Coturnix japonica: one gene and its partner. The protein of the gene in region 2 interacts with the protein of the main gene of each other region in a pairwise test. Links are inferred from orthologs where the notes say so. Each region holds a gene or a part of one and is shown on either strand. Other genes may lie near its edges. The genes, in order: RALB and EXOC2.

Evidence for each region.
Region 1: the proteins of EXOC2 (region 2) and RALB interact in a two-hybrid assay, tested with the Homo sapiens proteins (2 studies listed by BioGRID). The link is inferred for Coturnix japonica from reciprocal best matches to the Homo sapiens genes EXOC2 and RALB.

Annotation. Positions count from the first base shown.
Region 1 is NC_029522.1:21,379,727-21,382,791, forward strand, and holds the end of RALB (ras-related protein Ral-B), read right to left. Parts: intron 2,405-3,065; coding exon 2,285-2,404; 3' UTR 538-2,284; downstream 1-537. UniProt on the Homo sapiens protein: Multifunctional GTPase involved in a variety of cellular processes including gene expression, cell migration, cell proliferation, oncogenic transformation and membrane trafficking.
Region 2 is NC_029517.1:61,951,641-61,956,017, reverse strand, and holds the start of EXOC2 (exocyst complex component 2), read right to left. Parts: upstream 2,950-4,377; 5' UTR 2,829-2,949; intron 2,628-2,828; exon of another isoform or gene 2,607-2,627; intron 2,576-2,606; exon of another isoform or gene 2,486-2,575; intron 1-2,485. UniProt on the Homo sapiens protein: Component of the exocyst complex involved in the docking of exocytic vesicles with fusion sites on the plasma membrane.

The DNA of each region.
Region 1 (3,065 bases), on a different chromosome or scaffold from region 2:
AGTCAATGAGCTAACAGCTGAGGTATTCATTGTAAGCTTTGTTGAGTTCATTATTCATATAGCAAGGAAAGCTTATTCAGTTTTGTTAGCCACATTCTACAATCCGCCTGAGAGGGGCTTGACCTAGGTAAGCTTGTAATGTGAACTCAGCCATTGTTTATCCTTTAGGTTAATTAAGGACTTAACCTTTAGGTCTCAACTAAAGCCAAACCTAAGCAAGTGGTCTGCCTCTAGAAGTGGACATTCACATGCTGTAGATACAGCATGCACACAAAAATAGAGTCAATTTAAGTTCAAGAGGAAGTCTTTTTAGAAGCTTTAGACAGCTTTGTGTGTCCCACTGGGTGTTTAGGCTTTGGACACAGGTGGTACAGCTCATACAATTCTGTAAGCCATCAAGCTCCCAGCCTCTGCCTCAAGAACTATATTCAGTTCGCTTTGTTATACCAATTATATTATTCAAAGAATAATTTCCAAACTTCATGAAGCATTCTTCCTGTGCACAGAACATTAACAGAAAATGAATTAAACTTCACATGAAGGAAGATTACAGCACCTTTTATTTAGTACAGTTTCCCCAGTCCAATGAGTTGCCTGACAAGTTAAACTAGTTACGGAAGACAATGAGTGTGATAAATCCCTGTAAAAACCTCAGACCAACAGAGGTTCCGATATCTAACATCTTTTTCTCCCCAAAGTTCGGAGGTGGAATGCACAACAGCAATCTAGTACATGTTAAAAATGTTTTTCATCCTCAAATTACAATACTAAGTACTGAACAGTATTTGCTACTCCTTCACCTCAAGAAACAGTATTTGTTAATTTAGTGCTGCAGTGAGCTTCATTGAACAACCACACAGCATCACCTTTCCACCAACAGTGCTTTAAGCATCTGGTTAAAAAGCAAGGTACAGTCACTACTTCAAGTCTGTCTACTCCTTTGAAATAGAAAATATCCATAATTCATTGAGAGACTCCACAAACAGAAGAGACGGTTACATTCTACAACAGCAACAGAAGTATTTTTTGGCAACTGCACTTAGTTTAAACTGCATCAGAAATCACAGTTCAGTCAGCTGACAAGACCTGCTAAGTACTGACTTCTCTTCCATTTCTAAGCGGGCTTTTGCTGATTAAAACATGACCACCATTGCATAACTGACAGCAAAACCAACGTGCATCTCCATGTGCTAGGTTGCTATGCGTCAGAAACAGTACATATAAAATTAACAGTGAGTAACAGACATGGCAACTGTTTCACTTCATTCACTTTTTGCAACCACACGACTCACTAGCCAATTAATCAGAGAGGTAGCGTGTACGCCTCACCTAGTCCAAGTCATGATTGTGATGTGAGCCACCCTTACTCAGCTTTCAATTCCAGCAGGAAACAGATGATCCCACTTTCCCAACATATCACACATTTTCCAATATAAACAAAACTGATGAACACTGATTTTTCACTGTTCCAGTACCAGGAAGGCGATGAATGACCAATGCAGAATGAGTGTAATAGCCACAATACATGGAAGAAATCCAGGATTGCACTTCTAGGAGACCGTGGCAACACTATTCCTTCTGATGAAAAGCTTAGTCATTTTCTCACCCCCTAACTCTAATTTAAGGATGAGAAGACAGAACATCAGGGAAAGCCAATATTGTATTTCCTAATTAAGTCCAAATTGAGTCCATAGGCTTGATTCATGAATGCCATATTGACTAAACAGAACAGGGAAGAAAGTTTGTTTTGGGTTGACTCAAGTGTCAGTTGCTATTTAAGTGGAGGGTAGGAAGGAAACCAGCAAATTTCAGCGTAACAACTCAGTAACCACTAGCAGAAAACAGAGACAAACTGACAGGTTGTCATCCAGCTTGTCTGCAGTTTACAACATTAAGAAGGGCACCAGTGAAAGAACTGTTTGAACCTGAACAGCTGTGCTTGTTAAGGCCAGTAGAGGTTCAAGAAACATATTCTGAGACATTAAACCAGGAAGTTAATATGAAAGAACTTCGTATAACCAAATAGAGTGATTGTAGTTCTAAAACCTCAATAGTTTCTAGTTTTGAAAGACACTGGGAAGACAGAGACAATTCAGTTTAAGTAGGCATAGGTTTTGTTGGATACCAGAAATGGTTTCAAAGTTGTTTTCACATTTTCAAGGTATGATATGCAAAGCAAGAGATAAGGGAGTCAATACAGACTTCCTTTCATGAATCCAGCCCTATATCCTTAGTGGTATCTTATCCATGCCATTTGTAGATAGATATACACAGTTCCCAAGCATCACAGTAAGCAACATCTTTCTTTAAAGCTTTTCTTGTTCTTTCCACTTTTCTTGCCATTCTTGTCTTTGTTTTCAGACATTTTCTTTGCTCTGATTTCTCTCATTAAATCAAAGAATACCTAGAGGGGAAAAAAAAAAAGATTAAACAAGTTCTGCCACCTAAAAACAGATCCAGGCTACTTTATTAGGCACATAAGTGACACAGTACAACAAGGTACCTAGCAGCAGAATCAAATCTGGACACATCCCAGCTATAAATTCAACATTAGAATTATGGTACCTGAAGCAGTAGCAAGAAGCAAGACTGTTCCATGACTCTATCGTAACTTAAGTCACTCAGCAGCTCTGTTTCAAGAGCTTTTTGTTGAATATTGCTCTTGCACAAAAGTAGCATTCAGAGCTCAAGATAATATTGCTCTGTGCTTAATAAGTTATTTGCTGGGAAATACTTGCTAACTCAAGCATCCAGTATTTAGTTCAGTCCTTCCTAAGTGGTTACAAGCACATACCCTGCTGTATAATATTCTGCCTGTTTCATAATTAAAAGAGCTGCAGCATTCAGAGTGGCAGTATCAGGCACAGGAAGTCCTGCTGCATAGAAGACTCTCAGAAGTCATCACTCTGATATGTCCACCCAAAAATCATAGATTACTTTACCTATGCTAGATACCAAAAGATGAAATAGCAGCTTAACTGAGCATTACTAAGAAAAGAAGTCAGAACTATAAAACAAGAACTGTTTTCCCTCATACATGTTACGATCAAGCTACAAGCATTCTT
Region 2 (4,377 bases):
ATTTACAGAAGGTAGGTGGTCTAAGACAAAAGGTTAAGCTGAAGAGCAGTGTCTGACTTCCGCTAAAGATATCCATTCATTCACCTATTTTCTGATTCCAGCCCTTCAGCTTGCTTATAAGTACAGCACCAGATGCCACTCATACTAAAAAGCCCCCGCGGAAGATAAATTCAGAGTAATACATGCAATCTTTTGAGCATTATTTACCAGTTCTTCATTCTGAACTGAAGTACTACTGATTTCTTCCATGCAAAACATTCATGCGCCTTTTTTGCATAATTAAACTAATGCACAGACAGGTAATAAATATCCACTTGTGCTTCACGGGCTTGCCTCGTTCTGGAGAATAAAAGCATAGTTTAATTCATGTATTCTTTCATTCGGTGGCTGTCAGAGCCTGTATGTTCAAAAATAACTTTTAAATACACACTTCTGTGATCATGCTATTCAGGTCTTGCTCTTTTCGCCTCCCTTAAATGGATTCAAAGGGAAAGCAGAAAAGCCCAGATGAAGAGAATCAAAAGTAACACACAACTGATGATTAGTTTCAAGTACAATGCTCAAGACTTTCTGGATTTACAGCCAGCCATATCAAACTGACAGAAATTGATTAAGTAGGGTTTAACATAACATATCTCAAGCTTTCATCGCTAAAAGAGGTCAGTGGCCTCTGTTTCTTGTCTACCACTTAATGTGCTTCAGTGCAGTTTCACTTTGAGGAGTAGCATCATGAACAGACCGTATCAGTGGATGCTATTTCATGGGACCTTGGGAAACTACTGGTGAATCACATTTTAACATCTTTAATATGTGTGTGGTTTTTTTTACCTCAAATATTCTCAGCATGAGGAATCCTACAACTCAAAACACTAAGACCTGAATATCACAGGTCCAAAAACATCCAACTGCTTCACCTCTGATAAACACTAAGAAAAATTAAATTTTCCATACAGGGAAAAAAAAAACCAACAACCCGACTTGCCACCAGAAGTTAAATTAATGCCATTTTCTGTGAAATAAATCACACTAGTATAACGAAAATCATTGCATCCTGTTTAAAACAACAGAACCCCCGGTTAAGTAAAAACACTGTTGTCCAAGGGTGGGCATAAATCACAAACCCTGTAAACTAAGCGATCCATGGGAAAGAAAGCAGCAGCTTTCGGCTGCTCCTTGCTGGGTCAGTGCAAGCTGTGACAGACACTACGGCGATAGGGAGCTAAGAATTACAAAGCTTTTCTTCAGGGGAGTAAAAATAAAGCAAGCAAAGCAGGTTGGATGTAAAGGTGACAAGTTTCACTTGCAGTTTATAATTAAAAAACGACAGCCAAAAAAAAAACAAACCTCAGAAACTATTGGGTGTCAGCCCTGCCCACGGGAGAGGGCTGGAACTGGATGATCATTAAGGTCCCTTCCAAAGGAAGCCATTCAGTGATTCTAACTGAATTTCTAGTGATTTCTAATGGTTTGAACACTCCATCAAAAGGAAAAAGAAAACCCCGGTGCAGTGAAATACATACAGGTCTTAAGGAGGGGGGGAAGCGTTTGCAATCAGAAAACGAGGAAAAACAATGTGAGATTAGAATTTTAAACTACATCACGTATCAGAGGGTTTGAAACTAGATGAACATTATGGTCCTTTTCAACCCAGACCGTCTATTATTCTTTGAATGGGCGTTAACAGCTTAGACTTGACCTGATGTTCTGCCAGACTAGGAGGGCTTATTGCTTCGCTGGATGTGAATTCAAAGCGTTTGAGTGTTTGTGTTAGAAGCTGTTCATCTAAGGAGCAAACAAGACACAGGTGGTAGGAAACGCCAAAGAAATATATAAAAGAGGGAGAAAAGGCAACAGCTTGGAAGAAGCGCTATTTTGAAAGCCGGGACAGAATGTCAGGGTCCCTATTGGAAATGCAACCATCCCCACGTCCAGGCTGTTCCCCTCAATGAGAAACCGCGTTGCAGTTCATTTTAATCACACAGAATCACAGAATGACCCGGGTTGGAAGGGACCTCAAGGATCATGTAGTTCCAACCCCCCTGCCTAGCAGGGCCACCAAACATACACATTTACTACATCGGGTTGCCCAGGGCCCCGTCCAACCTGGCCTTGAACACCTCCAAGGACGGGGCATCCACAACCTCCCTGGGCAGCCTGTTCCAGGGCCTAACCACTCTCCTAGTGAACAACTTCCCCCTAACATCCAACCTAAATCTTCCCTCTTTTAACTTAAAACCATTTCCCCGTGTCCTGCTATTGTCAGCCCTTTCGAAGAGTTTACTCCCCTCCTGGGAGTAAGTTCCCTTCAGGTATTGAAAGGCTGCAATGAGGTCACCCCGCAACCTTCTCTTCTCCAGGCTGAACAAACCCAACTCCCTCAGCCTGTCCTCATAGGGAGGTGCTCCAGCCCCCTGGTCATCTTCGTGACCCTCCTCTGGACCCTTTCCAAAATCTCTATGACTTTCTTGTACTGAGGGCTCCACACCTGGACACAGTAAGCGAAGTTTTAAGCGCCCGTGCCTCTCCCGGCCTACTTCCTGCACAGCCCTCAGCACACGCGGAACCACCTCACGGTAACCAGCAAGGCCGGTCCCATATGGCACTACCTGCCCCCCAGCACAGCACGGAGCCCCACGGCCCGCAAACAGCCGCCCCGAATCCCTCCCGGACTAGGGGCGGGGCGGGAGAGCGCCTCGGTCTCCCCCCCGGGATGGGGACGGTCTCCGCCCCAGCGCAATGGGGGAGGACCGGGGCTGCCCCGCTGGGAGCCGGCTCCGCAGCGCCCGGCGGAGGAAGGGAGGGGCGGGAGGCCGCTCGCTGTCACTCACCGGCCGCCGCCGCCGCCGCGCTCGTATCCGGCACCTGGGGCAGCGCCGCTCCCGGCAGCGCCTCCGCGTCCGGCGGGAGCAGGCACCGGCAGCCGCCGCCCGAAGACATCGATGGAGTGTGGAGACATCGAGAAGGGGCGGCCGAGCTGCGGGCCCCGCCTAATGAAGGCGCAAGAGGCGGAGTAGGCGGCCTCCCTCGGGTTGGGAGCGTCTGCTCGTAGAAGCTCGGAAGTGGGGCAGTACGAAGCTCTTCTACTGAAGTAATATTGGTAGCAGCAGCAACGGCAATCGTAATAAATAATAATAAACTCCACGCTCTTGTGATGCAGCACAGGATGGTGCGGGGGTGCGTGGTGGTGCAAGAGGAAGGCACTGTGCCCTTGAGTCGGAAGGACAGGTTCCTACCATCTCCTGTCTCCCAGAAGCATTGCTTGTGTCCTACAGGCCTGGTTGTGGGGCCTCTAAATGATCGTCACACCTCTCCTGTATCTGTGGCATGGAGGGTTTGGTGTTGAAATTTCAAGTGTTGGTTCTCCTGCTGCCCCTCAGATGCAGGTGTGCTGGCCCTGAGTATGCTTGGGGTTAGAGCTGCTCATTCCCTAAAATGCCTGCAATGCCACATGGGCAACACCAATGGGTATTCTCACCCATCAGGCTCACTGTTGGGTGGAGGACGATTGCAATGTTTTTCACGTCATCTGTACAAAAAGGAGACTAACTTTTCTTCAGAAATGGAGCAAAGCAAAGCTGTGCAATTCCATTTCTTGGCTCAGCTTTTATTTCAGGTTGTTCCCCAGCAGCCCGACCCCCTGGGTAGTGTCTTTCCGGCACCGCTGCAGGGCTGCACAGAAACAGGACGCAGCTGTTACAAGAGCTGGCGGTAGGCAGGCAGCATGGGCAAAGCTTGGTCGTGCAAATTCGTGCTGGTTTCCCACTGAAAACATGGGGTGATTTCTTATCAGACCATCTGTCTGCATGAGGCACCTCTGAACAGAGGCTCTTCTTCCTTTTGGAAAGGAGACATCCTTTTTCCCTTTCTGCTGGAATTGTTTGGAGGTTGGTTGCGAAAGCCAAGTGCAAATGAAATCAGAATGGAAAGCAGATAAAAAGCAATGAGGGAGAAAACAGAAAGGAGAATCAGTTTCTCAGTTTTGCCAGTCCAGGCCTAGATTGAGACATTAGTTGGAAATATCTTTCATAAAACCTCAAAGAACGTAAGCGCTATAAAAAACATCATGGCAAGGAAATGTCATTTCCCACATGTTTTGGTTTTTTTTTTTTTCCCCTGGAGGTGAGAGCTGCACAAGGTATATTATAGGCTGTAATATCTCAGTGGATGAATATACAGCTCCTTACTGACTCTTCCCTCTAGCTTTAGTTAAATAGTCACACGGCATCTGCCTGAGGAACAATGAGAGACTTCAGTGTCATGCTTTTCACTAATTAGCTCCAAAGTTCTTACTGGTGACTGAGCACTTTTCTGTTAATACCCAGTGCAGAAAGACAGTTCATCTGTCCTTCAAGAAAAAGTAGAGGGGAAAAAAAAGTA